Ovis aries: one gene and its partner. The protein of the gene in region 1 purifies or fractionates together with the protein of each later gene. This does not show direct contact. Links are inferred from orthologs where the notes say so. Each region holds a gene or a part of one and is shown in the gene's direction. Other genes may lie near its edges.

The links.
Region 2: the proteins of RSU1 (region 1) and ILK purify together in Homo sapiens (affinity purification with mass spectrometry; 9 studies listed by BioGRID and IntAct, counting the BioPlex papers as one, with this or other methods). This does not show direct contact. The link is inferred for Ovis aries from reciprocal best matches to the Homo sapiens genes RSU1 and ILK.

Annotation. Positions count from the first base shown.
Region 1 is NC_056066.1:30,544,730-30,560,842, reverse strand, and holds part of RSU1 (ras suppressor protein 1), read left to right. Parts: intron 1-7,482; coding exon 7,483-7,615; intron 7,616-16,113. UniProt on the Homo sapiens protein: Potentially plays a role in the Ras signal transduction pathway. Capable of suppressing v-Ras transformation in vitro.
Region 2 is NC_056068.1:46,196,122-46,211,077, reverse strand, and holds ILK (integrin-linked protein kinase), read left to right. Parts: upstream 1-5,560; 5' UTR 5,561-5,748; intron 5,749-6,070; exon of another isoform or gene 6,071-6,075; 5' UTR 6,076-6,097; coding exon 6,098-6,186; intron 6,187-7,994; exon of another isoform or gene 7,995-9,975; coding exon 9,976-10,141; exon of another isoform or gene 10,142-10,169; intron 10,170-10,311; coding exon 10,312-10,407; intron 10,408-10,590; coding exon 10,591-10,687; intron 10,688-10,780; coding exon 10,781-10,864; intron 10,865-10,963; coding exon 10,964-11,049; intron 11,050-11,167; coding exon 11,168-11,277; intron 11,278-11,386; coding exon 11,387-11,514; intron 11,515-11,609; coding exon 11,610-11,731; intron 11,732-11,794; exon of another isoform or gene 11,795-11,826; coding exon 11,827-11,926; intron 11,927-12,033; coding exon 12,034-12,164; intron 12,165-12,333; coding exon 12,334-12,483; 3' UTR 12,484-12,746; downstream 12,747-14,956. Other genes in the region: RRP8 (ribosomal RNA-processing protein 8), read right to left, coding at 2,013-2,132, 2,360-2,456, 2,541-2,647, 2,777-2,906, 2,997-3,450, 3,677-4,046, 5,200-5,298; TAF10 (transcription initiation factor TFIID subunit 10), read right to left, coding at 12,795-12,884, 13,068-13,182, 13,271-13,335, 13,572-13,726, 13,865-14,096. UniProt on the Homo sapiens protein: Scaffold protein which mediates protein-protein interactions during a range of cellular events including focal adhesion assembly, cell adhesion and cell migration.

The DNA of each region.
Region 1 (16,113 bases):
ATTCTTATTTAATTGTAAAAATAATTCAGACTTGTAATCACATGGGGTTCTTGAGAAAGAAAATAAATAATTTACCCTTGTATTCTGTGAGTTCAGATCCCTTCCCCACGTTCATTTCCCCTCTTTGAGAAAATGCGTATTAACAATTTGATACGTGTCCTTCTCTTCTCTTTCTGACTTAAACATTTCCTCGTATACCTAATATGAGATTTCTTTCTTCTATACTTTTTTCCAAAAATGAAATCATAACAAACTTAGCATACCCTGAATTTTTTAAAATTAGGGTGTAGATCTCTTTCTAAGTCAAAACATACAAGTCTTTGTCATTTGTTTTAATAACCAGATAACACTTCATTGAGTAGCTATGTTATGCTGCTTCTCACCTATTGAACATTCTGGTTGTTTCCAGTGTTTTATTATAGCAAACATTTGTTATTCCAATGTGAGCATGATTTTATAAGCCTCATTGCTCATTTTCCATTCAGTGAAGTTTGTTGCTGAAGAAGTGAAAAAGATAGACGCTTTCCATCTCCAGCTGTCATCGTGCACTTTTGTAATTAGAAGCCTCTTATACAGTAATAAGCTTAGGGATCTACATGTAGAATATCTGTTTATATTCGGAGCAGCCCTGAATGTCGCTTTTATATTGTGCCGGAGTTGTTTGTGGTTAGCTCCTGTGTGTTGATTCACTGCAGAGCAGAGGTGATCTCTCAGCTGTCATAATGTCCCATCTAGACCCCCTTCAGCAGCGAATCAGTTTCCTGAGTTTCAGCAAATCCAGTATACTGATGATAGAGTACCCCATCAGCCATGGTTTGCTAGTTTTACCTTGTTAGACGATGGCCTTAGAGTTCCATGAGCGAGGGAGCCTGGCTGTTAGCATGCACTCATTTAAAAAGTGTTCTGCGGATTTTGGAATTAGGGAGGGAGGGAATGATCCTTCAATGACATGAAAAATTTGCCCAGGTTGCCTTGATTGCTTAATATGCAATAAATGATGTTCCTGGCCACGCGTTTCAGGATTTGGAGTACTCAGGAAGAATTGTTATCAGTAGGATTATGAAAACAACCCATTTCTATACGTGCAAACAAGTCTGCTTATCAATGGGGCCACAAGGCCTGTTCCATCTGATCACATGTATCACTAGCGAGGGGAATGCTTGTTTTCCATGCTTTAGCCTTTACAAAATACAGTCGCATGGCAGAGCTGCTATACTCAAGGCTCTGGAATGAAGTATATGTGGTGCCTTTGCAGGTAATAAAATGGAAAATCCAATTTGCAATTTCAGAAGCAGCCTGTGAGTGACAGCTGATCTTAAGGGCAGTGCCGGTCAGAGGGTCACCACTCATCACGGCGCGGGCTGGCTCCCCACGTGGCCTGGGCCTCCCCACCAGAGAGCAAGCAGAGGGAATGTGCGTCTGGGAGGCAGCTAGCGTGTCCGTGGGTGCACCCCTTTCTAGCTTATTAGATCCTCTTTGTCACAGTGCTTAATCCTGCCGCCTGATCCTTGTTAGAACAGCACCCGAGCGCTACTCAGGCTTCTAATAAGGAGATGGGTGAGGACTCCTAACTGGAGCCAGCCAAGCGTGCGGCAAGTTAGGGCTCCCGCAGCCTGACTGACGGGATGCTGAGATGCTCCCTGCATGTTATTACTGCAGAGGGAACCCGCCTCAGACAGCTGATGGATGAGCTCGGCTGAGGTCGGAGGAACTTGTTGCCGGGCCCCCAGGAGCCAGGTGTCAGCTTTTCACATGGGATGATGGCCGAGCTTTCTTCTAATTATCTTAACCCTCTTCTGAAATTGCTGCGTTCGTTCAGAGGGAGGTGAGAAAGCGAGAGACACCAAGCCAGCTGGGAGGATCGCAGCTGTACGGAAGCAGGTACTACATCCTTCACCAGTGACATTAACTCAGAAAATAAAACAGGCATGTCCCCTTCCTCCGAGTCCACTTACAGCTCGTAGAGTCGGTGCCGGCGCAGGCTCTGGCTCGTGCGGTTTCCATCTCTGTCATCTGTAATAGTTGCCTGCTTTAAGGTGCGCTGTGGACCTGAAGCATGGGTTTCTTGGTTCTTTGTTAAGAAAAGAGCATAGCATCCACCACGAAGCTACGGTGTGGTCTTACCACCCGCCTGCCCAACACACACCCCATGTCAGTGAACATGAATCATGCTTTTCTGCTAGGCTTCCCAGTTCCAGTATCCACGAAGCAGCTGTGAATCTGAAGTTTGCTATTAAATCTGACTGAGGATTGTTTGACTCTAAGGTAAATAAATGGGGGTGGGGGAAGGTAACTCCATCCCTCCAACCTCCCCCTCCCCCAGCTAGAGTGCACAGATGAGTTTGAAGTGATAGAAATGAAAATGCTCACAAGCAGCCTCTGGTCCGTTCTGGGTACTCCGACTTTCATCAGTATAAGATTCCTCTTCCCCGAATCAACCAGGTCCAGCTTGCATCCCTCAGTTCTTGCGTGCTCCAGTTAGCAGGCGTCATTAGCGTCATCCTCTGGCTTTTGTGTCTCCATTGATAGTGCTTAAATAGAGACATGGCTGGGGACTGACAGCTCTCTGGAGGGTTCGAGGTCTCAGACAAGAGGGCCCAGGGTACAGAGCTGACCTCCTTTCTTGATGTTATTCCCCCAGGTCTGTTTTCCATATGTGTCAACCAGGGAGCGTCGAACTTAAGTACATTATTTTTAGAGGATTACCATTAAAAAGACTACAGGCTTAGTCAGAGGCTGTTACTAAGTGAACATGAGATGAAGTACCTTGGAAAGCAGGCTTGTAGGTTGCTGGTAGCAGAGTACAGGCTGTTCTTTCCTGTACCTGTATGTTGAGTTCAAGGATGATCCATTAAACCGGTTCATAACATACCTGTACTTTTGGATTAGTGGGCATGATGCCGATCAGGGTTCGTGTCCTTCTCCAATCAATAGAAACTGACTAGAGGCCAGACAAATTCAGGCAAGGCTTTATCGGGGCTCCCGTTGCAGCAGGGAGGAGTGAGAACAGGTGATGGGTTCCCTTGCTCACTCCCCAGGGGTGAGGGAGCTGGTTCCTTATATGGGGTGAAGACAGGAGTGTGTCCAAGGATCGGGCTGGAGGGGTGGCTTAGGGTTTTGCCCAACACTTAGGGGGTATTGAGTGCAGGGTAGGGTGCACAGCACCCTGCTTTTGCAGTTGCCAATACCCTATTTTTGCTCCAGGCTCTTTAGAAGTGGCAATAGGGCTTTTTTGGTCTTTGTGTATCTTCTGTCCATGTTTGCCCCAGCTGTGCTTGCACACACTTGCTTTTAGTCCCATATAGTTTCTTTGTCTTGTGTTCCTCCAGGAGAGGTATGTCCAGGTGGAAGCCTTGTAGCAAATGGCCCCAGAAGCCAGTCTGTCTCAGGCAAACCCTGCACCTGGGTGGGAGGGAGCTGGTGATGCAATCTAGGAAAGAAGAGAGTCATCTTCCTCTCCTGCTCTCCTGGGCAAATTTGGACAAACTGAGGCTTGTCTGTGAGGTCCTTCCGAAACTTTCCCTGGTCCACGTTGCTCTCACACTGACCCAGAGCCTTGAAAATACAGCAAGCCAAGAAATCCTCTGTGCTCCAGACACAGCTACTTCTCCTCTTTTGACCCTCCTCCTTCCTCAGCGGTTTTCTAAGTCATTTTCCTGTGATACGCATCTGAAGCAGAGGTTAAATAAGAAAGCAGTCCAGTTAAGTTAGTTCATGGTCATGTGTGTGAATGACAGAGAGTCCAGGAAGCTTGTTCATCAGATACACTCTACCCATGGGAAAGTTAGCCTGGAGTTTTCGTTAGACTAACCAGTTTCAGGGGATGAGGAAGAAAGATATTTAGAGCAGAGACACCTCTATCAGGGAAATCTCCTTTGCTTAGGAATTAGTTCACATCTTTATGTAATTTATGCTTTTCGTGGCTTTTTTTTTTTTTTGGTTACCCATTTTAGAAGACATATTTTTTCCAAAGGTCTCATTGATTATTTCTTTTCACAGTTGATTCCATGATATAAGTGGGCAGGGCTCGGAGGCAGGAAGAGGATACTGGGTAAGTGTAGGCTGTCAATTAGGTGAATGTTTTAAGAAAGAGGCTTTTACCTCTAGTAACCCCCCAACTTTTTAGAGAATTTCTGCCCTGTGGTTACTATCACCTGGTCACTTGGCCCTTCCCTCAGTGACCGTACTGCCTAAGGACACCGCACAACATAATATACTGTGCATTTAAAACACAACATGTCAGGAACTTCCCTGGTGGTCCAGTGATTAGGACTCTGAGCTTCCAGTGCAGGGGGGCACGTGTTCAGTCCCTGGTCAGGGAACTAAGATCCCACATGCCGAGTGGCACAGCCGAAAAATATTTTAAAAACTTAAACATGACGCTTCAGAAATACAGACTGGTTTGTAAATTTAAGACTTTCCCCAGAAACTTCTATTCATTTTTAGGAAATGTGGAAATTGGAGAAAAAGAAGTAATGAGACAATGATATGGACAGGAGGACATAGGGTATAGCAAATGAGGAAATGAGAGTTATAGCAAAATTTAAACAAGCGATCAATTTGATTTTGGGGAAGTGGAAAAGCTTGTCTCTTGTCCAAGTAAAGATGAAAGCAAAATATATGAACAGCAGTCCACTGCCAGCCATGTTACACCTTTGTAGGATACTTGGCTAAGCCCAATATGTGCAACATTTGCACTTCCACTTATCCCAAGCAGTCTTCTGACTCACGGTGTAGAGAATAAAGCCCGTTAATTTCCCAAGTGATTAAATATCTGACTAATGATGTTTAACCATTAAGTTGAGGAAATTGACAATATTGATAATCTTGGAGAGAAATGTATCTGCTTATTTTGTACTTAACCAGCAGATTTTAAATAGCTTTGGAAATATCATGATGGATTACTCCTACTATTTCATAATATCGGTTTTCTTTAAAAGCATTTTATGAAATAGGAATCACTTTTCCATTGGTCTGTTTTTCCTCTGTTATTCTGGATAGCTTCACATTCATTCAGGCACCCCTCTGATAAAACTGTAGTTTGCATTTCAGACCATCACAATAAAGCAGATTACTCAAGTTTGTTGGTTTCCCACGGCATATAAAAAGTTTATTTATACTATACTGTAGCCTGTTAATTGTGCAATAGCGCCATGTCTAAGAATGTACATGTGCTGTGTGCTGTGCTTAGTCGCTCAGTTGTGTCTGACTCTTTGTGACCCCATGGACTGTATCCCGCCAGGCTCCTCTGTCCATGGAATTCTCCAGGCAAGAATACTGGAGTGGGTTGCCATGCCCTCCTCCAGGGGCTCTTCCCAACCCAGGGATCAAACCCAGGTCTCCTGCATTGTAGGTGGATTCTTTATTGTGTGAGCCACCAGGGAAGGCCAAGGATACTGAAGTGGGTAGCCTATCTCTTCTCCAGGGGATCTGCCTGACCCAGGAATCGAATTGGGGTCTGTCTGTATTGCAGGTGGATCCTTTACCAGCTCATCTACCCAGGAAGCCCCAAAATGTACATACCTAGTTAAAAATTTCTCACTGACGGACTTCCCTGGTGGTTCATTGGTCAAGAGTCCACCTGCCATTGCTGGGTCCATCCCTGGTCTGGGAAGATTCCATATACCACAACTCAACCCGTTTGCCACAACTGCTGAGCCCGAGCTCTTGTGCCCGCGAGCCACAGGTACTGAAACCCATGAGCTCTGGAGCCTGTGCTCGGCAACAAGAGAAGCCACTGCAATCAGAAGCCTGCACACCACATCTAGAGAGTAGACCCCACTCACTGCTGCTAGAGAAAGCCCATGCATAGCAACCAAGACCCAGTGCAGCCAAAAATAATCAAATATTAAAAATTTTCTTACTGATAAAAACTGCTGACCATCATCTGAGCCTTCAGTGACGTGTAGTAGTAACATCAAAAATCACTGATCACAGATCACCATAACATAAATAATAATGATAAAAAGGCTTGAAATATGGGGAGAATTACTGAAATGTGACCCAGAGACACAAAGTAAGCAAGTGATGTTGGAAGAATGGCACCGACAGACTTGCTGGGTGTGAGGTGGCCGCAACCTTCACTTTATAAGAAATGTAATTAGTATGTGCAGAGCACAATAAAGTGAAGCATTGATACAGCAAGGTCTGTCAGTGTAACAAAAAGAAGGCAGAGTCAGAGTATCATCATTTGTTTTAAGAAGAAATACTGCATCACTGTCCTAGTAAACATTTTCTTCTCATTTCTGAAGTTCAGATTAGCTGGGAAATGATGTGCTTTGTAGAATGCTTGCATCCTTAGAGTATGTTTTCCATATCCTGAAGTTACTTGTTATGACAAAATTGGCAGTTGGAGCCTCAGAACAGGACAGAAATGGTACTAGGGTTGTGTCCTGTAATGAATAATTGCTAGGTGTCTGTGTTCAGAAACCTTAGACTGTAGACCAGGGGTCTGAAAATGGACTTCTTCAGTAGGACTTTGAGGGCAAGGATGTCGGTGAGCCAGCTGACTGCCATTTAAACCACACGCAGCTCTACTGTGTAGCATCTCTGTCTGTCTCTCTCGTAGGCAACCATGTTCTTGGAAGCTCTTTCTCACACTTCCCTTTTCCATTTTCAAAGACACCAAACAGAAATATATACATAATCAACTGATCCAGCAACACGTGGTACCCGATGCTGGCGCCCTTCATTAGCTCATGTTTGGTTGATCTAGAAATATATAAGAGATTCGGAGTCAGAAGGCCTAGATTCAAATCCCTACTCTGACATTTTCTGTTCTTAGAGATGTTACTTAATTTCCCCAAGTTTCTGTGGTTTTTCTTACCTGTAAAGTGATGTCAATTACTGACTTTAGGAATTGCTGGAGAATCAAAGGAGGAAATGCTTTTTACAGGTAATTTGTGAATAGGTAGGATATATATGTGTGCATTTCTACCCTTAACCATGTTACTGAGATGCGTTTAGTGCTGATTCTGAGATATGCTATGCTGCCCGAATGAGGCAGTGTTTTCATCTTTCTTCGCTTGTGTCCTGCTTTGATGAAAAGTGGTGTTGATTGGATCAGGTTTCAGTCTTACTGGACAGATGGTGCTGCACACTGTCAAGGTGAAATTGGGGGATGTCCTGATATGAGGGGTTCTCTCAATCCTGGAAGGCTGTTTTTGTTCCTGTAGCAAATACTGGAAGAAATGAAGCAAATGCTACATTTGTGTGAATTCCTTCCAAGTTTACTTCCTTCTTACCTCTTTTACTCCCTCACCCCTCTCTCCTTATCGCCTTCCCTTCCTTCCTAATTTCTTGTGTCAGTATGCAATCACTGACATGGCTTGTAGACCAGCAATGACTTGGGCTAAATATTTTTAAAACAAATGACTCAGAAGATGCTTAAGGTTGTGCTGTGGTTACTGGGCATGAATTACTTCTTGAATTTGATTTCTGTTGGTTAGATGACCTTCATTTTTTTTCTCTCCATCTTTTTAGGAAACTTGGATTTAACTGGTCAGAAGCAGATATTCAAAGCAGAGAACAATCCCTGGGTTACCCCTATCGCTGACCAGTTCCAGCTTGGCGTGTCCCATGTTTTTGAATACATCCGCTCTGAGACATACAAATAGTAAGTAGACTATGATTTTCTGAAATAGACTGGTTTTATGGTATTTATAATTATGCCAGCTTAACAACCACACATAGTAATTGTCTTTATTTATAGATTATTTTTCATTCACATTGTCAAGGGAAACTTATACTAGTTTTGTTTAGAAATCTTTTAAGGTATTAAACTGGCTGAATATTCATGGCACTAAGGAAATTAACCAGACACATTAAGATCAGAACATATTCTTTTCTCCTTTGAATGCAGAGAATAACAAATGTTGTGAACAAAATTGTTAAGTGGTTTATTTATAAAATCAGTAGAGCATACTAAGAAAGCATAATTCTCTTTTTTAATCGAAGAGAAACGATAAGACAGAAAACGAGGAGGGATCAGCTGGCTTAACTCACAGCATCAAAATCTTTCAGGTCCTTCCCTCGGGTCCAGGGCGCCCCTGGGGGGTCCAGCATTAAAACCTAGGTATTCCCGCCTCTCTTTTCCTCAGTGTGTTCAGGTGAGAAGGAATTCTGCCTCCTCCACTTGCTCTGTTGTTACTGTGTCTTCTGTTACTATTTTCTGCTCCTCCCACTTGCCACCCCCAAATTGAAGTGATCATTGCTCTCAGTGCTTCAGTGACCCTCTAATGCTGAAATCTAGCCACCTCTAGTTTTAAGCAATTGCAAAAAACTTGAAACAATTCATAGTCAAGTTTAATCTGTTTTTGTGTCCAGTACCAACTTGTGAGAATTTAACATCCCAACTCTTAAGAAGACCGTGGGGATCATTAAAGGCTGTAGTCAGTTTGGAGCAGTCCCTTTTTTCTCTCTTTTTTCCCTTTTTTTTCTCTTGAGTATCAGAGCTATCCCCTGCCCCCCGGCTCAACATGGCTTTCTCCAAATCTGTGTTGGAACAGTGGGTCAGATTTAACTGGCAGGGCAGAGTCCTGGCCCATGAACGGCCAGTGGTGGTTCTGATAGTATGAGTCCTCCTGCTGCCACGTTCCTGGTTACACATCTGGGACTCCTTTTGGTATATTTCCAGCAGACAGAATCACAGAGAAGGTAAACTGTGAAAGAACAATGATATTCAAGCAGAATAAACTGAAATTGCCAAAATGATGCATATCCTTGTATATGAATGCAACTTGAAGCCTGGTTTAGGTTTCTTTTAAGATGATACCTTAACTTTTTTTTTTTTTTTTTGACATCTTAGTATTTATCTTATGTCAAAATGGGAGATGTGTAGGGTCTGTGTTATTGTTTCATGAACCACATAGATATGAGCAATTATTATACATACATAGTTTTTTTTTTTAATGAACATAGCTCAGGGTTGGAAATTTGTTTAGTTCATCATGAAAATGTGTGAAAGTATAATTGCAAATTAGCTGTTTATTCGTTTGGTTTCTCTTAAATTCTTAATTGTTGCTAACATCAGTTTTAGATTAACCTCTAAAGTTTCATTAGTGAATGGAAGGTTATACAATGGTTTGGTTTGTAGGGTGGTATACTGTTAGAAAAACATTGTACATAATAACTACAGAAAAATAAATAAGCTACTGTTAATCCAGAATTGGGGGAAATACTCTGTTGTTTATTCTGGTTAATGATTTTTTATATCTACCCTAATTTAGAATTTATACTAATACACTAATTTAGAATTTACAGAGAATTAGAATACAGTGCATAAGAAAGTGCTTCTAATTTTCATTTCATTTTTAAGAGATTACACTGTGAACGTATGGCTTTTGAGTACGTTAGAGTCATTAGGCAATTAATCACCATTGTGTGCTATTACAGACAGTTTCTGTTTATTTGAACATTGTTAGGATTCTGGATAAAGGAGAGGTGTTGACTGAGTTTGTTGATACTTTATTTGCAAGGGAATCTGTGATCCACTTAGTCCATGACATGTCTGGTGTATATATTCTTGTCTGTTTCAATAGCATTTGATATTGGAGGATCAGAGTCATCTCAGCAGTTTGCCCACTGGCTTATATTTTACATGATTTCCTCTTGGAGAATTTTGTTATCTTTTGTCCAGTTAAATCACCATGAAACCGCTTAGAGAAGCGTGGGAGAGCCTTTGTCCCCTTTGTAGGGGTGCCAGTCAGTACTCTGTTCACTGATTTGAGAGGAGTATGTGCGCCTCTGCTGGGAGAATGCCCTTGACATTAAACTCCTGGGAGCAGGGACCTCCCTAAAGTGAATTCTCTTAGAGTTCTCCCCGTTTCTCCTCCTTGGGAAAGAGAAGAATGTTAACCACTTTCTTTATCCCAGCTTTCTGCCCCCCTGTTCTCCCAGTGGAGCAGTGACCTTCATTCCTTGATCAACATACCAGCCAGACACAGGGACTGTGAACCAAGGAAGACACTGCCTCAAGCGCTCAGTCTGTTTTCTTAAAAAATACACTTGTGCAAAAATGCCATCACTATGTTTTACTGATTTTTATAATTTAAGGTCCTCTTTTAGAAGAATATGTTTGTATATCCTCATGTAACTAGAAATCAAACTTCTTTCTTTTTAAGCAGTCACTTCATATTTAGAGGACTTACAGGATTTCTCAACTCTCTGAAAAATTAAATCTAATTAGCAGATATTTGGCTACTTTTGTAAAGCTGTACATGTGATGACTTGCACGGAGGCAGTTTATATGTTACACCGATATTTTTTTAAACAAGGCAAATGTCTCATTTGGTACCTTAGTCTTAGATCCTTTATTCTAAAACCTGTAGTTTCTAATCTTCACTTTCTCATCTCTTTTTATATAAGTCACGTACACCCCTTCCAATTAAAAAATCCTTTTTTTACTATATTGATCTTTAGCTTGTCATAAAAGCGTATTTTAATTTTTTATTCTGGCACTTGAAATACCAATGAATCTCCTTTTTTTTCCCTCCCCTTTCTAACCAATCGACCCATTACCTAAATGAGAGCATTAAGAACTCACCAGCTCATTTCATTTCCCTTCGTGTCCCTGGTTGAGGTTCAAGGTGACCTTCCTATTCCCAGTGCATCCTAAGAGGCCTTCCACGTCTTGAGCAGCGACAGTCCAGGGAAGATGAATTATCTCATTTCCAGACTCTAACAGACTCCAAGAGGTGACATGGATGTTTGAAACAAAACAGGGAAGTCAGTGTTTAGGAGGAATTAAAATACTTGGCAGGGATTTAAGTGGATGAGGATGGAACAGGAGGGGCTGTGGGCAGGTGTGGGCTGGGAGAGAGCTGAGAGGCAATTCTTCAGGAGGTTGTTTTGGGGGTACATTTGGGGCATTCATCGCATCCTGATGATTCCTCAGACGGAGCTCCCTCTGTTCATTTATCGTACTCTCAGCAAAGGGAGCATATTGGCTGGTGTCATCGCATTGCCCGCTCGTTGTCACTTATTCCCTCTGTCAAAGGAATTCGCTCCTTCTGGATGTCGCTCCTTCTGACGCTCAAACCCTACAAGTGTGTTAGCATTTTCGGGCTATTGTCGAGTAACTTCTGTTTCTGTGAGAGTTATGATCAGATCGGCACCGCTTGTTAAGCTTACAGGAGGCAGATTTTTTTTTTTTTTTTTTTTTGGTCGCCGAGAGGGGAAGTCAGATTGGAGTCAGGATCCTTGACAAGATTCTTTGTGAAAGGGAGTAACTCACACTTTTCACATTTCCATCAAGGAAGGTGGATGGAAACTGCAAGCCATTTTAAAAGCTGACACGTTAACTCTTAACAAAAGAAGAGGTTTGACAAATGTTAAGCAGAAACGGTGTCGGTTGAAAGCGACATTTGGAAAACAGGCATTCTCATGAAGCCTGCAATTTGTAATGCCTGGCAGTCCTAAAGCCTCATTTCCAGGCTGGCATAACTCAAAAGCTCCTTCCCCATCATTCTTCCCATCTTGTGACTTTCTTTGCTGTCCATCGAAAGGTGCCACACTCACTTGCTTTTCTCTTTTGTTTTTCAGTCCCATACAAAGACATTCATACTATTATTCAGGTTACTTAACGGAAACATTTTAACCAAGCAGTGCTTGGGGAGTGGTGGGCACTGATGGGAAAATGCAGGCAAATTTCTCTTCCCTTGGAAATCTGGCAAAATAAATCATCCTGTTTAGTTCATAAGGAGGAATAAGGACTTTGATTCTGCCTCATATTGTTTCTCAAGCTGTTTTACTTGCACAATTAAAACCAAGGAATGTCTTCTTTTGTTCTGCACCTTGGGCAAACCTATTAGAGGCCAGAGAGACCATGCTGTTATTGTTTAGTCGCTAAGTCTTGTCCAACTCTTTTCAACACCATGGACTGTAGCCCGCCAGGCTCCTCTGTCCATTGGACTTCCCAGGCAAGAATACTGGAGTGTGTTGCCATTTCCTTCTCCAGGGGATCTTCCTGACCCAGGGATCAAACCCACAAACTGGTGAGTCATGCATTGGCAGGCAGATTCTTTACTGTCTGAGAATAGCCATACCTGGGCTTTCTTAACTACTATATCCTGTAATGGCTGCTGACTTAGAAGGTCCTTACATAATAGATACAGCTGGTCTACCAAAAGGCTAAAAAATTTTGAACTTAATAGGTGATCCCATTTGTTTAAGATAGCCCTTTGCAGAAGGAAATCCTGTCTGATAAAACTCTCCAAACACTATTTTTCGGGTGAAGTATAAAAATGGATGCACTGCACAAGCAGATGGTTTTATAAATATCACAGAAGGCTGCAGAAGAGGGTTAATCTGCCAGGACCTTGCTAGCAGTTAGTGGGCCTCTTTTATGTAGTGACAATAGATATGCAAGAAGACAAAGACTTTTCCCTTTTCTTACTGTATCTGAAAATAGCTCTACCTGAGCCAGAGAAGCACAGTATTTCTTTACATTAGTCATGAAAAAGAAGAACCAATTTTTCCTAACTAACGCCTTCAGACATAAAGATTGTTTTTTTTAAAAGCTGACTGTGTATCGTGCTCCTGGTAATTTATATTTCCTTTATAGATGCTACATGTGTGATTGTGGTTCTTTCTTTAAGTTAATAAATGGATTCTCACATTTCCTCCATAATACAAAAAATGATTCAAGCTTTTGACATTTCTGGACCTGTTTGCATGCAAATGTGTTCATTTAACAAACCTTGCTAAGAAATACCAAAGAGAAAAAGGAAACCCATAAAATATGTTATGTTTTGGATGGTACCACGTCAGATCCCTTATTTCATGTTAACTTTCAATGATGAAAATTATGTATCATTCCTTTTTCTCCAGCTAGTATGTTACCAGTATAAGGAGTTGACAAATGTTAATTCCACTGAGTTAGGTCAGGACAGAACAGAACATCAACCTTGGTCTTTGACTTGGTCCATCATCTCTTTTCTTTGTGTAGCCATGAGCTCTTAATTGCCCTGGTAAATTTATCTCTCCCCTCTTAAGGAAGAAAACAGATTATGTGAGGTAGAGTACAGGACAGTTCTTTTTCTCTTCCATTTTTGATAGATTGCTTACTGTAATTTGCATTTAAAAGGAGTTCAACTTTTCTGATTTTTAAGTTGTTTAGCACTGTTATTCAGATGTACTTCAGGGATCGTTAGTATTTTTCCTTTTTCTTAATGCATGTCCATTTCTTCAGTGTATAAAGTACGTACATGCCTTTTGAAGCTTTCCTATAATTTTCTAACTCATGCGAAACAGTTCAGTTTTTAAAGTGGACAGTGCTGCCCATTTGACATGTCCAGTGGACATGGAGCCTGGGAGGGAACCTCCATCCCCTTAAGCTGTAAAGGTCAAAGGTGAACTCTGCCAGGGTTTGGAAACCAGCTTCAGGAGGCTAAATTGGAATTTCTGAAAGTATCCAGGAAACACCATTTTGTAGGTGTGCTAAAATGTCGTTCACTCTGACATGCCTTAGATGCAAATACAGACTTTGGAAAAGACTCCCTCAAGTTTGTGTGTTCATTCTCTGGTCCTGTGAGGCAGTCCCTCCTCAGCCACTTTGTGCTGGGTGAGCACTGTGGGATCATATTTGACCAATGAGCTGGGGTTCTGTCAGTCTTTTTGCACTTTATTTCACGACTAGGGCAGTTATCATGAAATGAGTCGCAAATAAATTTAGAGGGGCAAATGGGAAAAAACGTAACTGCTCCATCAAGGCAAGAAGAGTGATGTTTACTCTGATCCTTATGCCACAAGAGACTTTTATGCGTGATTTTAAAGAGCGAAACAGCCACGTCTGTCTCTTCCCCTCAGTGTGCATTTCCCCCTTCCTTGTATATTGACTCTCAAGCCTGCCTTCAGCCTGTCTTGTGCAGCTGCAGTGTACAATATGATGTATTACAGTATCAATTTAAGGTAAATAGAATGCAGGTAATTTGTCCCTCTTGACAGAAGGAAAATAAACATAGTCCAGGCTCCATCTACACTCCAGAAAGGAAATCTGTCAGGTTACTTCCTCTTCCAAAATAACTATTTTGAGTTACATTTTTAGATGATACTCACTTGAAATGATCATATCGAACTATGAAATATTGACCTACTCAAAGATGTGGTCCACCCTACATATTGATAACCTTTATTAACTCCCAGCAGTCTTCAAGTTCAATGCTGGATGCTTTCTGTCCAGCTAAGATGAGTTATTGCCTGCCTTTGCTATTTTTATTGGAGAGATAAATTAATAAGTGGCACTTTATAATCAAACAAAACTGTCTAATTTCTATTCTCTACATGGTAATATCTTACTTTATTACATGCTGACTTTTTATTGAGCTCTGGTCTCTTATTCTGTTCAGGCATTGTTGGGGTTTTGTTTTTTGTAATTTTTGACAATTAAGTGTTCTCCTATAATGTTAGATACTATGATTTAGAGTGAGTAATCTTATGAAAGGCATTTTTGTCAACTTAATCAGATAGAAAGTATAAATATGAGTTTTATGTCCACTGACGTTTACTGATATCCAATTTATTCATCAACTATTAAGGAAAGAACCCTCTAGATTTTGTTCTCTTGTGTTTGACTATATCATTTCATATGTATTTTTTAAGACTCATGATGTAAAAAGTTTGTGGTCAAGACAATGTTGTGTTCCACTGTCATAGTTTTCAAACAGTCTCATCTGGAACCCATACAGTTTTATCACCTTCAAAATGTGTATGCTCTTTTTTTTCCTCCACCCAGTGACATAGTGTGTGTTTAGAAAAATACATAAATTGTTATTGAGGTTTTGGTTATTTTATTTAGCAGGGTTACTGAGTAAGTACCCTGCCTTCCTCTTTTCTTTTTCCCCTGCTGCTACCTAATTTTGTCTAATTTTGGCTGTTTTAGCCACTGAGCAGAAATTTATTATCTTAACAGCTCTAGAAGTCCCAGGATCAAGGTGTGAACAAGGTTAGTTTTTCTAAGGTTTAATCTGATTACCGCAGAAAGACCCTGCAGTCTTCAAATACGGTCACATCTAGAGTAACAGCACCGTCCAGCTCCTAACATTGTTGTGACTCCACCATATCCAGTTCTGTGTAGTTTGTTCCACCATCCCGTCCGTCTTCTCTTGCAGCCCCCGCAGCCTCATTGTAGGCACAGTCTCTTTATCAGTAAATGTGTTTAAATGCCTCTGGGAGGTCTAATCCACCCCTCCCCCCTGGCCCGCCACAATGCCTTTCTTAGGCATTTGGCTTTCAGACCTAAAGCTTCCTTCAAAACACGTGGATTCACCATTGTTTCATTTTAGGGACACCATGGTTAGATTCTGTTTTGGCAGAGGGGTCAGTGTTTTTATTTGTAGTCATCTTTAAGAATAGACTGACTGTGTGGAAACAGAAGCTGGTTAGAATCTGAAGATCCCTTGGGAGTGAAGGGCACCTTACAGAATGTCCTACTTTGCCGAATTCAGCTAGACAGTTGAAGACGGGAGAGTTCCGTAGGGCACCCACCATCGGACCTTGCCTTGTTACCTTTCGCAGGAACCTGTGGCTGGAAGATGCAGCACGGGGCTGGGGGTGCCTCTGCTCCTGGTGGCTTCTTGCCCTGGGGCCCCGACCAGTAGATGTGGAGTCTCCTCCCTCTCTGCTTTGTGGTCCTGCCTGGTGGCTGCTGGTGTGTTGCCCTGTACAATGTGAAGAAGTCAGGGACTTCTCCCATCTTGGGGTTTCAGTAACCACATTTGGAGCCCTTTTATCCCATCTTGAACCTTGTCTCAGGAGATTTCTGGGGTCTTAACTGGGCATGGTCGAGACTACTAAGGCCAGGGCACTGAATTCCCTTCTCATGTAACTAGAGCTGGTTAGCTTCTGCAGTGCAGGGCAAGTATCAGACATGGAGAGCATGTTTTCAGATAATGCACCTGGCGTAAAGAGCCAGTGATGGACTTGGTGGGACCTGCAAGGAGACAGAGGGAAAAAAAAGTCTGTTCTTGGAGCATTGGTCTTAAAGATGGCTCCCAGTCACACTTTGGTCAGGGGCAGATAACTTCATCACATCCATTTTCAGCTTTGCCATTTTAAAGGAAAGAGTTTCAAGCTGGGTCCTCTCTAAGAGTCACCTCAGCAATGAGTTCTAATTCT
Region 2 (14,956 bases), on another chromosome or scaffold:
AATGGCGTCACCAGCGCAACTAGTTGCTTAAGCCAGAAACCCAACATCTGCTTCAGAATTCCTTTCTCTCACCAAGCCTCAATGTCCCACCAGTCCTCCCAGCTGAAGTTCTCCCACCTGCCCACTCCTTGCACTGTCACTAGTGACCTCATCATCTGGCCAAACCTGGGTTCCTGCAACACCCCTGCTTCTTAATGGTCCACAAACCCTGTCATCTTTATCACCTCCTTAGATGGATCTCAAGTGACCAGCTCTGGAAACACAAAGATAAATATGAGCTGAGAAGACTGCAGCCTAATGCACAAAACAATCGTCACACAGTACTTAAATGTGGCAGTTGATCTCTTCCTGTAGTGCTCTGAGAATGCAGACGAAGAAAGTAGTTCTGCTTTGGGAGTAATGGAGTAGGAAACAACTAGGCTGTCTGGAAGGATGAGTAAGACTCTGCTGGTCAGATGAGTATTCGGCAGCAAGAAGCGTGTGCAGAGGTACTGAACAGTGTCTGCTGGATGGTTCACAGCCCAGCCTCCAAACACGCCCTCTGGCCTGTACAACCTGTCTCAAAACACCCCCTTACTGGAGGTACTCAACTGGTGCAGAGTCCTGGAACCTGTGTGCCAGCGGTTCCTCTAAGGTCTTGTTCTTGGAAATAAGTCTTTACCGTCTGAGCCAGCAGGGGAGCCCTTAGAAATAGGCAGAACAGACTGTATCTTTATACCTGGGCCCATGGCAGATGCCTTTTGGAAGAGGCCAAGGACTTGTCATCCCAGTCATCTTCTCCCAGAACTAGTCTTCTCTGCCCATAGTTTGGCCTAGTATGTGCTGATCTGGGCCCACTGCAAGGCAGAAACAACAGACACAGTCTTCTGCCAATCCCCACTCCAAATGGCATCAATCAGTTGTGATTTATAGAGACCCAGCTCCCACATCACCTCACTCAAAGAACTGCTCAAAATCTATTAAGAATCTCTAAAAATCTTATAAAATAAGGCTGTTGAAAGGCCTATCTTGAGCTCTCCCAGAGTCTTCCTCAATCAACAAATTCATCCTTTACTCTTCAACCCCTAATCCTGCTTAGGGAAGGTCTTTAGAAACAGTAAAGGCTTGCAACACACAACAGCCGCAGCAACAGTTACTGAGCACCTCCTATGTGCCCAGCCTTGGCTACCGATTTCCTCATTAACCCATACAACAATCCTATGAGTCAGTAATTCTATCATTTACCAAACAAGCAGCAAGACATTCAAAGAGTAAAAGGCTCTCGGCAGTCAATGGCAGGCCTACCTGATTCCAATATCTGTGCTCTCAGCCAGCCAAACACCAGGGCCCGACAGAACAACAGATGCTAGGAGGGTTAGGGCCATTCAGCTCCAAAGATGGAGGTGACAGTCAGGGGAAAAAAGTCCTCAGTACAGGGACAATCAAACCATCTTGACCGAGACGTCCAGATGATGTTGGTGGACTACAGCCAAGGTGCCTCTGCTGATGCGAGGGCTGCTGCACTTACTCTAGAGCCAAGCTGCTCTAGAGCCAAGAAGGCTTTGGGCCTTAAGGATCTGTGGCCTTAAAGGCCCGGGCAGACCAAAGCTGTAAAAGCTTTGAGTGAGCAGAGGGATCTGGTGTGCAGACAGGAAAATCAGAACAGAGAGTGGAGCTGCTAGGACAGAAAGCTTATATGGCTCTTGAGAGATGGAAACAGACACCAAACCCAGAGATGCCTTGAATTCCAAACCATGTAGTTTCCATGACACTGAGGGGATCCGTAATTCCCACATACTCCTGTGTTCTCACAGTGAACTCCTTACTCTTTAGCTAGCCCTAACGACTTTATGCTTTCTAGAACCAAGAAGCCTTCATCACAGCAGGGTTGAGCCGAGTTTCATTACATTTTGTTCTTGAGATGGAGTAAGGGTGGTACCAGGCCCTGGGTCACAGTCTGGCTGGATACAGTCTTCAGAGTACTGAGTCTGGAGTTTAAGATTTGCCGCCCCGTTCAAGGGGGGCTCCAAAGGTCACCTGCGCTTGTAGAGACAAGGCTGAAGCTTCAGGCCTGAGAGCTGAGTCTTGGGCCCTACCCGAGGGGGCCCGGTCTTTTCAAAGTCAAACAAGAAGAAGTGGCTGTTGGTCAGATCCTAGGGACAGAAAAGACCCAGTGAGCTCTAAGTCCTCACCCCAGCTCTTCAAATCACCTCTGTCCAGGCCCCACCCCTGCTCAGAAAGCTTCCCAGCTCTCTCCCACTACTCAAGCCTTCAAGGAGCAAACATCTCTGTCTGACAATGACCTCCTTCCTGAACACCATTATTAGCCTGAAGGGCCACCTATATGACAAAAATAGGACAGACTTCCTGGGGCCCTCACCTTGGAGATGACCTTGAAGCCCAGTTTGGTGACAGCCCCCAGAAAAGTCCGAACATCTTCAAAGCGGCTGCTGACCTCAGCCACTTTCAGGAGACCCCTGAGAAGGACGGAAAGTTCTGGGTAAGTACACCGACACGCGCATGTGCACACAGTCATGCAGCTGTGTCCTGGGAACACCTACCCTGGCTTCAGCACTCGATTTGCCTCCTCCAGGAAGTCTCTGATGTTGGTTCCCATCAGTGAAAGGCAGAACACAGCCACATCTATAGATTCATCCTCCAGAGGCACCTGTGGAGAGTGAGAAGGTTGTACTAAGCACACATTATAGGAAGGAGAAAGCCAGCACTGAACGCTAGGAGTAGACACAAGGATGCAGGGTGGGCAGAGCGCATTTCATGGAAGGAGAGAGGGGCTTACCTGGGCCATGTCACACACAGTGACCCGGGGGTCCAGAGAGGCCAAGTCAAAGCAGTGTACACGGTTCCGGATACTTGAAGCCAGGCGGCAGTCCCCACAGCCAAAGTCAGCTACCACTAGGGACGCAGGCCTGGGAATGGAAGGGAGGAAGAGCTCACTGGTCTGGTCTGAGCCTGGGACTGACACGCCTAGCTTTTCACAGCGCCCGATTTTCACTAACCGCTGGCGAAGATCCCTGGCGATGCGGTCTACCGGCTGCAGTGGCCACTTCTTGACTTGGTTCTGGAAGCCACGGTGGTAGAGGAGAAAGGCCTCAGGGTCTTCCTGGAAGAGGCGCTGCGCAGCACTGCTGGGCCCTGAGTACAGCTGTTCATTGAGGTAGCGGAACCGGGCACCATCCAGACGCTGGGCCATGCGGGCTCGAAGAGCCTCTGCCCGGGCTCCATGGCTGTCTGGACTGGGGGCAGAAGGCACCTCTGCCTCCTCTGCAGAGGCTGGGGCTGGGGCCTGCTCTGGTGGCTGAGATGGCCGAAACTTGTTCTTCTGTCTACGCTTGTTCTTCTGCCGGTTCCGCCATTGCTTGCGACTCAACGTATGGGGAGGATTAGAGGAAGGGGTCTCACAGGTTGGCTTGGTGAGATCACTTGTAGCACTAGAATTCCAAGCTTTAGAATCTGAAGAAAGAGAGATAGAAAGGCATACTGGGGAGCAAGATACCCTGAATTCAGAGACTTAGCATGTCACCCTGGCCATACCCCTGTCCCTAAGACAGAAACTGTGGTCTATGGGAAAGTACTTCTTATTCCCTAACTCCACACCTACTGGTGGCAGAGGAACTCTGTTATAGGTAGGGTCAGCTGAATCCCACACCCCCAGCCCTCATCATCCCACAAATACTACCTGTTTGGTCAACACTGTCCAGGGGCTGGGCAAGATTTGAAGGGATCTGTTTCTGGCATTTCCTCTTTTTTTTCTCTTCTTCTGCCAGGTCACTGCCAAGAAGAACCCCTTTGTGGCACTTCTTCCTTTCCACTTCCTCTTCCTTGGAGTCACTGCTAGGTGGGCCCTGTTTGTGACGTTTCTTCTTCCTTTTCTCCTCTACTTCACTAGACGCACCAGCAAACAAGCCCTTTTTCGTGCGTTTCTTCTTTGTTCCCACTACCTCCTCCTCCTCCTCAGAGTCACTGCCAGGCAGGCTAGGGGGCTGCTGGGGAACAGATGCTACCTCCAGGGCCCGTAATGTGGCCAAGAGCTGGCGGCGGTTGGCGCCCTGGGGGAAAACAAGGGATGAATGCAGGGGTGAGGAGAATGGATGGGGCCTAGGGAGTAAGAAGAGAGATGGGGACCTCACTCAGATGCTGTAACGAGGCATCTGGATTATTCTCAATCAACTTACCTAGCCTAACACGAAGACTGTCAGGGCCTGAAGAACTTTCAAAACTGCCATCCCAACCTTTGGGAGGCTGGAGAGCAGAGAAACCACCCACCTCACTTTCTTCATTGGATAGATGAGGTGATGGGGTTCCCAGAGAAACACTGTAAGGCCACGAGCTACAGGACCGAGGCTAGTGACCGGGAGTTCCAACTCTCAATCTCAGGTTTCTACCTCTAGCTAATACCTTTTTATAAAAAGTAGGAAGATTTTTGAAAATAAGAGTGACATGATCACACATGTGTGTATTAAAGATGCCTCCAGTTGCAGTGTAAAGAACCGAAAGAAAAAAAAAAAAAACACTGAAAGAGACAAGCTGCAGACAGAGGCCAGTGGCGGGGATTACAGCAGTGGGTCGAGGGGTTGAAGAGGAGAGAATAAAGCAGGCAGATTTCATGTCACAGGCTGACTGAAGGACAGAAAGAGCCTGAGCAAGTGCAGCAGCCCTCACATCGGCAGAGGCTTAAAGGAGGACTACTGTCTGGGAGGCCGTTCTGGACTAAGTCCCACTGGACGGATCCCTCATCCTGGAGACTCTCAGTACTCCCTCAGCTCCAGCTCCCTTTGAACAGCGGCACTGACAGCCCTCGTTGCCATTCAGTTTTGCTCTTTTCAATCTCCACACGGCAACCAGTGACATTTTCAAAACGCAAATCTGAAGAAATCATCCCCCTGCTAAAACACTCCATTGGCTTCTATCTTTAACGTGCAAATATTCTAACGTAGCCCTCCAATTTCTACCACACTGCCTCTCATTCTGTGTCATGCTCCCTTGACCCGGGTCTCTCCACATGCCTTTCCTTCCAAGAAACCCTCTTTGCTTCACTAACTTCTACTCACCAATTCTCTCTCAGTTCCAACGTCACTTTCTTTTGGAAGTTCCGGATCTGGGGAGGCTGCAAGCGGCCCCCCTCCCCCTAATTACACACGCGGCGCGCCCCAGCTCCGGAATCCAGCAGTCTGTTCTGAGTACTCCTGCAGGGCCACTCACCTTGATTTGAGAGGTTGCCGTGGGCCGAAGCCCTAAGGCTACAGACCCGAGGTCCGCGACTACAGGGGCCTCCTCGGCCCACTCCGGCTCCTCGAACATGGGGCTGGGGAGCGCAAGGTTGCGGGATCCACCCGCTTCTCCACGTGCAGACCACGTCTCTAAGAATCAGACCGCTCAGAGACGCCGGAACAGGGCAGGAAACCAAAGAGTGAGAGCTGAAGTGGCTAGAGCAGCCGGCGCAGTGCCGAAAACCATCGAGTTTAGACACTGGTGGGCTAGAAGGGCAAGGAAGGCGGGAGGGAGGGGCCGGGAGAAGGAGGCCCGCGCTGGCCTGAGAGGGCCAGGGGCGGGGCCGGGCGGCGGGCGCGGCCGGACGGGAGTTCCCCGGAGAAGGCTCCTCTAGCCCGAGTCCCGGTGAGTGTGGGGGCACCCGTGCCCCCTCCCCAAGGCTCGAGCTTTACCAGGCGGTCACCCCTCCCTCCACCTACTCGGTTCCGAGTCGGGAACGAGGGCCATCCTCGGCAAGGACCTCCGATCGCCTCCTCCAGGGTATACGGCGCCTAAACTCCCCACCCCCACCCCCCAGCTCTGTTCGCGGGTAGGGTCTCTGTGCTTGCTCTCGTGACATCCCTTCGGAAGACACTACCTCTTCATCAACGCCTACTTCGCCCGATCCGCCTTTCCCTCGCGCTCAAGGGACACAGTCCAGGACCATTCCGCTGCCTCCCTAACTCCTTACAGACATCCAGTAGCTGGGGACGCAGAGCCCAGACCCCCAGCCCAACACCACACTTCTCTCCTGTAGGGGACAAAGCCTGGGGCTCACCCCCCCCCCCCCCAAGATCCTTCTACAGTTCCCACACTTTCCCAGTCTAGGGGACTCTGCCGGGACGCTGCTATGGACGACATTTTCACTCAGTGCCGGGAGGGCAACGCGGTTGCGGTCCGCCTGTGGCTGGACAACACGGAGAACGACCTCAACCAGGGGTGAGCTGGGGTGGCTGGGGGGCGAGAGGAAGGGCAAAGACATGCTCCTCTCCGCTCTGTGGGGTGCTCACTTCTGGTGCGGGCGGCTTACTTTCCTATTCAGTGTGATGAGGATTAAACAGCCTGTCAGCGGGGCAGAGGGTCTCCACACCGGAAGCTGTTGTTTGAGCTGAATCTTGACTGAATAAGAATTTACAGGCAGAATCTGCAGAGTATTCTAACTTCAGTGAACCTCATGGGCAAAAGCTAGGGGGCAAGACACGGAGCAGAGAGTGCCAGAAACTGTCCGGAGCTCCATATGGCTAGAGGAGAGAAAACCGCTGGGCTTCTGTGGGCTAAAGCTCTAAGCACAAGTGCAGAATGACAGAAGTTAAGACTGGAAAGGTCTGCAAGGGTCAGTCAGATCATGCAAGAGTATTTAGGCTATAATAATTTTTTATTGCAAGGGCAAGGGTTTAGAGCCATGTAATGGTACGATGAGATTGTCCATTTGTTAAGTGTCATCTTGGATGCTTTATGAAGAGCAAGTGGTGATGTGAAGAGAGGCAACTAACTGCCTAGTCCATCTCAAGTGGTGATGGCTTAGACTAGAATTGGGACAGGCAAAAAAGAAAAAAGTGATCAAATTCCTGAGATCTTTTGGATAAAGAATTGGTGAGACTTGGTGTGGAAAGTGAGGTCAAAGATGATGATCAGGGTTCTGGCTTGGGTAGATAGTGGTTCCTTTTATTGAGAAGGACAAGGCTGAAGGGTGGTGAGTTCCACTCTGCACACATTTAAGTGACAATAAAGTGGATGTGGAGTGGGCTGCTGGATTTCAGGAGAGATCTGACTTGGAGACAAAGATTTGGGCGATATTAGCATGACTGGAGAAGGCAATGGCACCCCACTCCAGTACTCTCGCTTGGAAAATCCCATGGACGGAGGAGCCTGGTAGGCTGCAGTGCATGGGGTCGCTAAGAGTCGGACACGACTGAGCGACTTCACTTTCACTTTTCATTTTCATGCATTGGAGAAGGAAATGGCAACCCACTCCAGTGTTCTTGCCTGGAGAATCCCAGGGACGGGGGAGCCTGGTGAGCTGGTGTCTATGGGGTCGCACAGAGTCGGACATGACTGAAGCGACTTAGCAGCAGCAGCAGCAGCAGCATGAAGATGGGCTTCCCAGATGGCTCAGCAGTAAAGAATCTACTTGCCAGGGCAGGAGCTGGCAGGAGATGCGGGTTCAACCCCTGGGTCTGGAAGATCCTCTGGAGTAGGAAATGGCAACCCACTCCAGTATTCTTGCCTGAGAAATCCCATGGACAGAGGAGCCTGGAAGGCTGGTCCATGGGGTTGCAAAGTCAGACATGACTAAGCATGTACACGCATGCACACACAGACACACACAGCACGTAGATGGCACCTGAAGAGGTGGATATGAAACCGGATGAGAAACCTAGAAGACCAAACAGGAAAATATGCTGCTGCTGCTAAGTCGCTTCAGTCGTGTCCGACTCTGTGCGACCCCACAGACACCAGCTCACTAGGCTCCCCCGTCCCTGGGATTCTCCAGGCAAGAACACTGGAGTGGGTTGCCATTTCCTTCTCCAACGCATGAAAGTGAAAAGTGAAAGTGAAGTCGCTCAGTCGTGTCCGACTCTTAGCGACCCTATGGACTGCAGCCCACCAGGCTCCTCCATCCATGGGACTTTCCAGGCAAAAGTACTGGAGTAGGCTTAAAGAAGTGAATGTTTCAATGAAAGGAGTGGTCAGTGGTACTCTAGATTGCTAAGAGGTCAAAGAACTTGAGCACTAAAGTGTAACCATTGAATTTACAATTATTTATGTATTTAATGATCTCTGTGAGAGCCGTTTCAGAGGAAAACAAGTGAAAAAAACCAGACTATACTTGGTTCCTTCATTTAAGGAACTATACTGAACACGCACTGGGTGCTAGAAGTCCAGAATCAGGCATAATGCTTGTCCTCAAGGCAGTGGTCTCCTGGGCAGGTTGAATGTGAAGTAGAGAAAGTGAATGTAGACAAGTTCTTTAAGGTTGGCTGAGACAGGAAGGCAAGAAAAGCAGTAGTGATGCTGATTCAGGATCGTAGAATTTTTTTAAAGTGAGGAGAAAATAGATTTTAGGTTTGAGAGTTAAGGATCACCTGTCACTTTCATCCAGGCTTTATGGGTCCCCATTAGACTCTACGCTATTTCTCTATAATTCACACTCGTTCCATTTTTCATATAATTCTTCAAACGGTGCTCTGATAAAGACAGAGAACACAGCTACTATTTTGTTGGTGGCATCATAAAGGTTAGGTAACTTTTTCCAATGAAGCTGGCATCAAAGAGTGGTATTAGTGAAAGTGGTGCAGGTATGAGTGGAAGGGCTTCGGGGCCCCAACTGGGTATATGGTGGATATTAAGTAAGGGTCAATTTCCTGCTGGTCGCTTTGGGATTAAAGTTCAGGCTCTGAGGTGACCGGAGCATGGCAGTGGGCAGAACCCTTGTGCCCATACTTTTGCTGTCAGGCTCTGGCCTTCTCTGGGGCCACAGACCGCCAGAGGCTGATAAACTGGGGCACAAATTAAAGAACTGGGATGCAAAACTGACTGATAAGTAAGGGGTGGTGATTGCTTTAGGAAGAGGGAGGGAATACCTCCCAGAAAAGCTTTTGGCTATCTTTGTGAACAGATGAGGGCAGCTGTAGAGGGAAATCAGTAAGTTAAAGGTCACACCCACCACCCATTTTGGCTTTGAGGACATCTGGATTGCCTGGGGTGACCATACCCCTGATCAGCTCCAGGCCCCGCCTAGAGCCCCCACACGGGAAGTGACCGCAGCACTAAGGCATCCGGAGGCTGACGGCCCAGACCACGGACCGCCCCCTTAGCTCCGCCCCTTGGATCTGCAGCCCAGGACTGGAGGGAATTTCCTTTTATGGCCCCAGGCTGTCAGGCAGGCCTAGTTTCCACCCAATTGTGGTTTTGTTGTTGTTGTTTTTTATACATTTAACTTTATAAAATAGAGAAGTTCTTGGGAAAAGAAAAAAGTTAGGTACAGCTTTCTAATTAAGTCATTCTCATTTTCTTGTTTTCTGTACCTAGGATTGCTTAAGAATCCTGTCTTATGTGGCGGTATCTGCCTCATGAATGACTTACCCAAAGCATTTCTCCTTTTCATTATAAACCCCTCCAAACCATCATTTTAATTCCATTCCCTTTTTAGATTCTAATTTCAGTATCAGAACCAAAACCAATCAGTAAACTTGCTTCCTCTTCCATAAACTGTGGCTTTTCTTCTCAAAGCTTCCCTTCCTTCCTATTAACATGCACTGAACAGCTGCTGTCAATTCTCAAAAAGCTTAGTCTAATAGACAAGACAGCCCATTTAACAGATTTTTACAATCCAGTGTGACAAGTACCTATGTAGTAAGGCAGTGTACAAGATATGGTGAAAACAGAAAAGAACCAACAGATGTTGCCAAAGGGGTGCAGAGGAAACCAGATGAAGAATGTTACCATTTAATGATAGAAGGTGCCTGGGAAGAAAGGCTAGAGGGAGATGAAAACAGTGAATCATATGGAATTGTTGGGATTTCAGGTAGTGGTTGGTTGGGTTTGAAACTCGGGAAGGTCTGGACTGGACAGCTTTGGGAGTTGCTGGCATGAATGAGAATCAAAGTTCTAGAGGTAAGGCTTCCCAGGGAAGAGTATGCAGAGAGAATATTAAAGTTTTTCCTGTGTCAAAGCCTTTGCCCCCATCCCACTTCCAAATCAATGACCCTTGCGCCTTCCTCATAGGGATGATCATGGCTTCTCCCCCTTGCACTGGGCCTGCCGAGAAGGCCGATCTGCTGTGGTTGAGATGCTGATCATGCGGGGGGCACGAATCAATGTGATGAACCGTGGGGATGATACCCCTCTGCACCTGGCAGCCAGTCATGGGCACCGTGATATTGTACAGAAGGTATGTATGAACCCCTTGATGCACATGCCTGGAAGTAAGACACAGGCATTATAACATAACGTACAAAGTATGTGTACTCATCTCCTTCCTTCCTTGCATGCCTTAGTACACTTCTCTCATTTGGGACTGACTGTACCTTCTACCTCTTTCTATTTGGCTATGGGCACCAGCTGCTACAGTACAAAGCTGACATCAATGCGGTGAATGAGCATGGGAATGTGCCCCTGCACTATGCCTGTTTCTGGGGCCAAGATCAGGTGGCAGAGGTGAGTACTCAGGCCCTGAACTCTGGGATGGGTGGGAAGAAGTTTGAGCTTGAGTGGGAGACTCTGGAACCCTCAACCCATCCTGTGAGTACTGTCCTGTGTGCAACATTCACAAGGTTTGTACTGCATCTGCACTCATGCTTAGTTGGGAATGCCCTCATCACAGCCATCTCTTAATTCCAGGACCTTGTGGCGAATGGGGCCCTTGTCAGCATCTGTAACAAGTATGGAGAGATGCCTGTGGACAAAGCCAAGGCACCCCTGAGAGAGCTGCTCCGAGGTCTGTCCCCACCCACCGCTGTGTCCTCGTCTTGTCCTAGCCTGTCTCTTTCCACACAACAGCTGAGGTCAAGACTTTGTCTTTCTTCCCCAGAGCGGGCAGAGAAGATGGGCCAGAATCTGAACCGTATTCCATACAAGGACACATTCTGGAAGGGGACTACCCGCACTCGGCCCCGTGAGTCAGCTGTGAGGGGAGGGGTGGTGAGAGAATAGTCCTGGACTCCTGGGGCTGGGAAAGAGGGAAGCTGGGTGCCTGACCTGCCCACACTCTCAGGAAATGGGACTCTGAACAAACACTCCGGCATTGACTTCAAACAGCTCAACTTCCTGGCGAAGCTCAACGAGAATCACTCTGGAGAGGTAACTCCCCACCCCACCCTATTACCTGTTGTGCACCTGTTTTAAGTCTCTCCTCCAGTTAGTGGGCAAGAAAACAGTGGCCTTAGTTAAAGCCTTCTAACCCTTATCTGTCCCTCAGCTATGGAAGGGCCGCTGGCAGGGCAATGACATTGTCGTGAAGATGCTAAAGGTTCGAGACTGGAGTACAAGGAAGAGCAGGGACTTCAATGAGGAGTGTCCCCGGCTCAGGTGGGGCAAGGCCTAAACTGGAAGCCTTGATTTCAAGGAGCCCTGTCAGCACCCAGAGGGAGATCTTTTATGCTGGATCTCAGCCAGGGGCATTCTCTCCCTCTTCCAGGATTTTCTCACATCCCAATGTGCTCCCAGTGCTTGGTGCCTGTCAGTCTCCACCTGCTCCTCACCCGACCCTCATCACACACTGGATGCCATACGGATCCCTGTACAATGTGCTACATGAAGGCACCAGTGAGTAGGGAGTGCCAAATCTCACTGCAGCAGGGTGTGGGGAAGGAAAGTCTGTGAGCCTCTCCAAATGATTTAACTCTTGCCTTCTCACTTAGATTTCGTTGTGGACCAGAGCCAGGCTGTGAAGTTTGCATTGGACATGGCAAGGGGCATGGCCTTCCTACACACACTAGAGCCCCTCATCCCACGACATGCACTCAACAGCCGTAGTGTAATGGTGAGATCACAACTTCACTCCCGGCCCAAGCCCCAGAGGTCCTTTCCCTAGAATAGGACTTACCTCCTTCCACACAACTATCTTCTCTTCCTCAGATTGATGAGGACATGACTGCTCGAATCAGTATGGCCGACGTCAAGTTCTCCTTCCAGTGCCCCGGGCGCATGTATGCACCTGCCTGGGTGGCTCCTGAAGGTGAGTGATGGCATTATGATGTGAGGCAGAGAAGGGGCAGCTCAGTAGTAATGGAAGGGAACACAGACAGGACAAGCAGCTGGAACAGATAAGTCCTATCCCTCTAGCTCTGCAAAAGAAGCCTGAAGACACAAACAGACGCTCAGCAGATATGTGGAGTTTTGCAGTGCTTCTGTGGGAACTGGTGACACGGGAGGTACCCTTTGCTGACCTCTCCAACATGGAAATTGGAATGAAGGTGAGAGCATAACTGGATATACTTGTGGTGGTAGTGACAATAATTGTAGTGGGGCTGGGCTCCTGCCACATTGATTCAAATACACAGAATCCTGTCCTGAGGGCTAGACGTCTCTCCCGACATGAGACTCAAGTTCTGAGACTCACCTTGTTTTTCCTTGTGTTTGCAGGTGGCATTGGAAGGCCTTCGGCCTACCATCCCACCAGGCATTTCCCCCCACGTTTGTAAACTCATGAAGATCTGCATGAATGAAGACCCTGCTAAGCGGCCCAAGTTTGACATGATCGTGCCTATCCTGGAGAAGATGCAGGACAAGTAGAGCTGGAAAGTCCTTATCTGAACTCCAGAGGTGTCAGGACACGGTTAGGGGAGTGCACCTCCCCAAAGCAGTAGGCCTCTGGTTGCCTCCCCTGCCACTAGTCATGGTACTACCCCAGCCATGGGGCCCATCCCCTGCCCCCATCCCTACCACTGTGGCCCCAAAAGGGAATGGGCTCAAAGCTTTGTCACTTGCCACACGGTGTCTCCCAGCATGGGAGGGATCAGCCCTGCCTGTCACAATAAAGTTTATTATGAAAACAGGCTGGTGTGGGGACAAGAGAACAGACAAGTACATTTAGACTGGGTGGCTCAGGTGAAGTAGTGCGGCTTCTTCACATTGATGCCATACTCGCTGAGGGCAGGGGTCAAGTCCTCCATGGTTAGAGTGTACTTGCGGTCCTGAGGGAAGAGGGAAGAGCACCAGCTGAACACAGGAATTCCAGATTTCAATCCCAGGCAGGTGACCCTGAGTAGGTCTTTCACCTCCCCTAAGGCTTAATTTCCCTCAAAGGGGTTTCAGGATAATTTAAGCCTCTGCTGCTGTAGGAAGTAATTACTGAATCAATGAGCCTCCCCTCACACCTTGCTCTTGCTTCGGGAGCTGCCAGAGGCTGTGCCCTTCATTTTGCAGTGCTGTAGGGCATCGTTGGCAATATCTGAGATGAATTTCTGGGCAGCTAGGGAGATGAGCCGAATTCTGGAGAGAAAAAAATGGTATGAGAAGAGCATAGACAATAAACTCCACACAAACACCCAACACTCTAACCTGCCCAGAGTTTACTCACATGCGTGGGTCGGAGGCCTCAAAGCCAGCACGGTTCAGGTAGTAACCAGTCACTGCATCAGGGATCTGAGAAATCAATTAGACGACTGTAAGCGTTAGCCCTGTGTACAGCGGGGCTGAGAGTCGGGGTAAGGGAAATGGAGGGCAGGCCTGGCTATCAGGAAGCTCCCAGTTTGGGTGGGCAGAAGGGAAAAATCACAAAAGCTAGGAAGAGAAACACAAGAGGATGCTGCAAATCCAGATGGTGTGGCAGAAGTTGGCGTGACAGCGAGTCATTAGCCTTGTTCAGGCAGGAAGCCCACCGTAGGCGTGTAATCCTCCAGCTGCATCAGGAAGTCCACTAGAGGCGTGCTGGACACCACTGGCTTCACCTCTCCGTTGGCCGCGCTTGGCAGCACGTAAACCCCGTTAGACATGGCCCCCTCCGGGGGCGCCGCGCCGCCGGTCGTCACTGGAGCTGGAGGAAAACCAGCAAACTGAGACACGGAGGTGGGAGGCTCGAGGGTTCCGCTAGGTGTGTCTTACCCTCTGCCCTCACCCGCCGCTGGGCCCAGCCCAAAGCGCGGCCCTCGCCCTCACCCGTCCCGGCCCTCACCCGCCCCGCGCCGCTCGGCAGGCTCCCCGGCCCGCGCCGCCACGGCTCCAGTGCCCCCTGCCGCGGCTCCAGCCCCAGGCCCCCCTGACGTCCCCGCGGGGCTGGCCTTGTTCTCCGCGGCGGTGCCGGCGGGCAGCGCGGCGGGGGCCGAGACCGCGGGCGCCGGGCCCGGGGCCGAGGCGGCGGAGGCCGGCGCCGCCTCGGGGTCCGCGCCGGAGCCGCTGCAGCTCATCGGGCCGGTGGGAGAGGCGGCGAACAGAGCCGCTTCCGCTTCCGTTCACCTTACGCACACACCAGGGGTGACGTCACGCGCCCCACGACTCGTTCCTCCCACGCCACGTTCGCTCCTCCCTTAGGCCTCCTTCCTTTATTCCCCGCCCATCCAGCCGCTACCTGACAAAGGCGGGAGGGCGGAGACCAAGTGTTGCGGAACTGGGCTGGCGCGGACATTTCGCGTCCGGACCCGCGGTTCTCCAGTGTGGATCCGCTGGGATGGGAACCCCTCAATGTCGAGGATTCTCTTCTATGGGCTTGAGGCCCCCTCACCCAGCCTGACGTCTAAAATTCTTGCTTTGATGCTCATCGCCCCGACACCTCTCTACTGTTGGTCGCCTGCGTGTCTGCATCTTTTCTAAGTTCCTTTATCCAGCCTTTTAAGGGTTTGTAGTGGAGTTGAATAGCCTCTTTCCCCGCCAGCTGCCCAAAGTGAAGGTAACCGGACAGCTGACACAGTGCTGCTGCAGATGGGGAGAGAGGTACAGTCCACCGTCCGTATAGGTGGTGAAGGGTTGGTAGGATTGGTTCCGGGACTCCCCCGACTCCCGTCCCCAACCCATGTATACCAAAATCCGTGGATGCTCAAGTCCGTTATATGAAATGGCATAGTATTTGCACTGTATACTCTATATAATCTCTAGATTGCTTATAATATCCAATGCGATGTGAATAGTTTACTGGTGCATGGTAAATTCAAGTTTCGTCTTTTATAATTGGAATTAAAAAATATATATATCTTCAGTTCACGGTTGGGTGAATCTGTGGATGGAGAACCCGAGGATACAGAGGGATGGCTGTCTTTCAGTCTTAATAAAC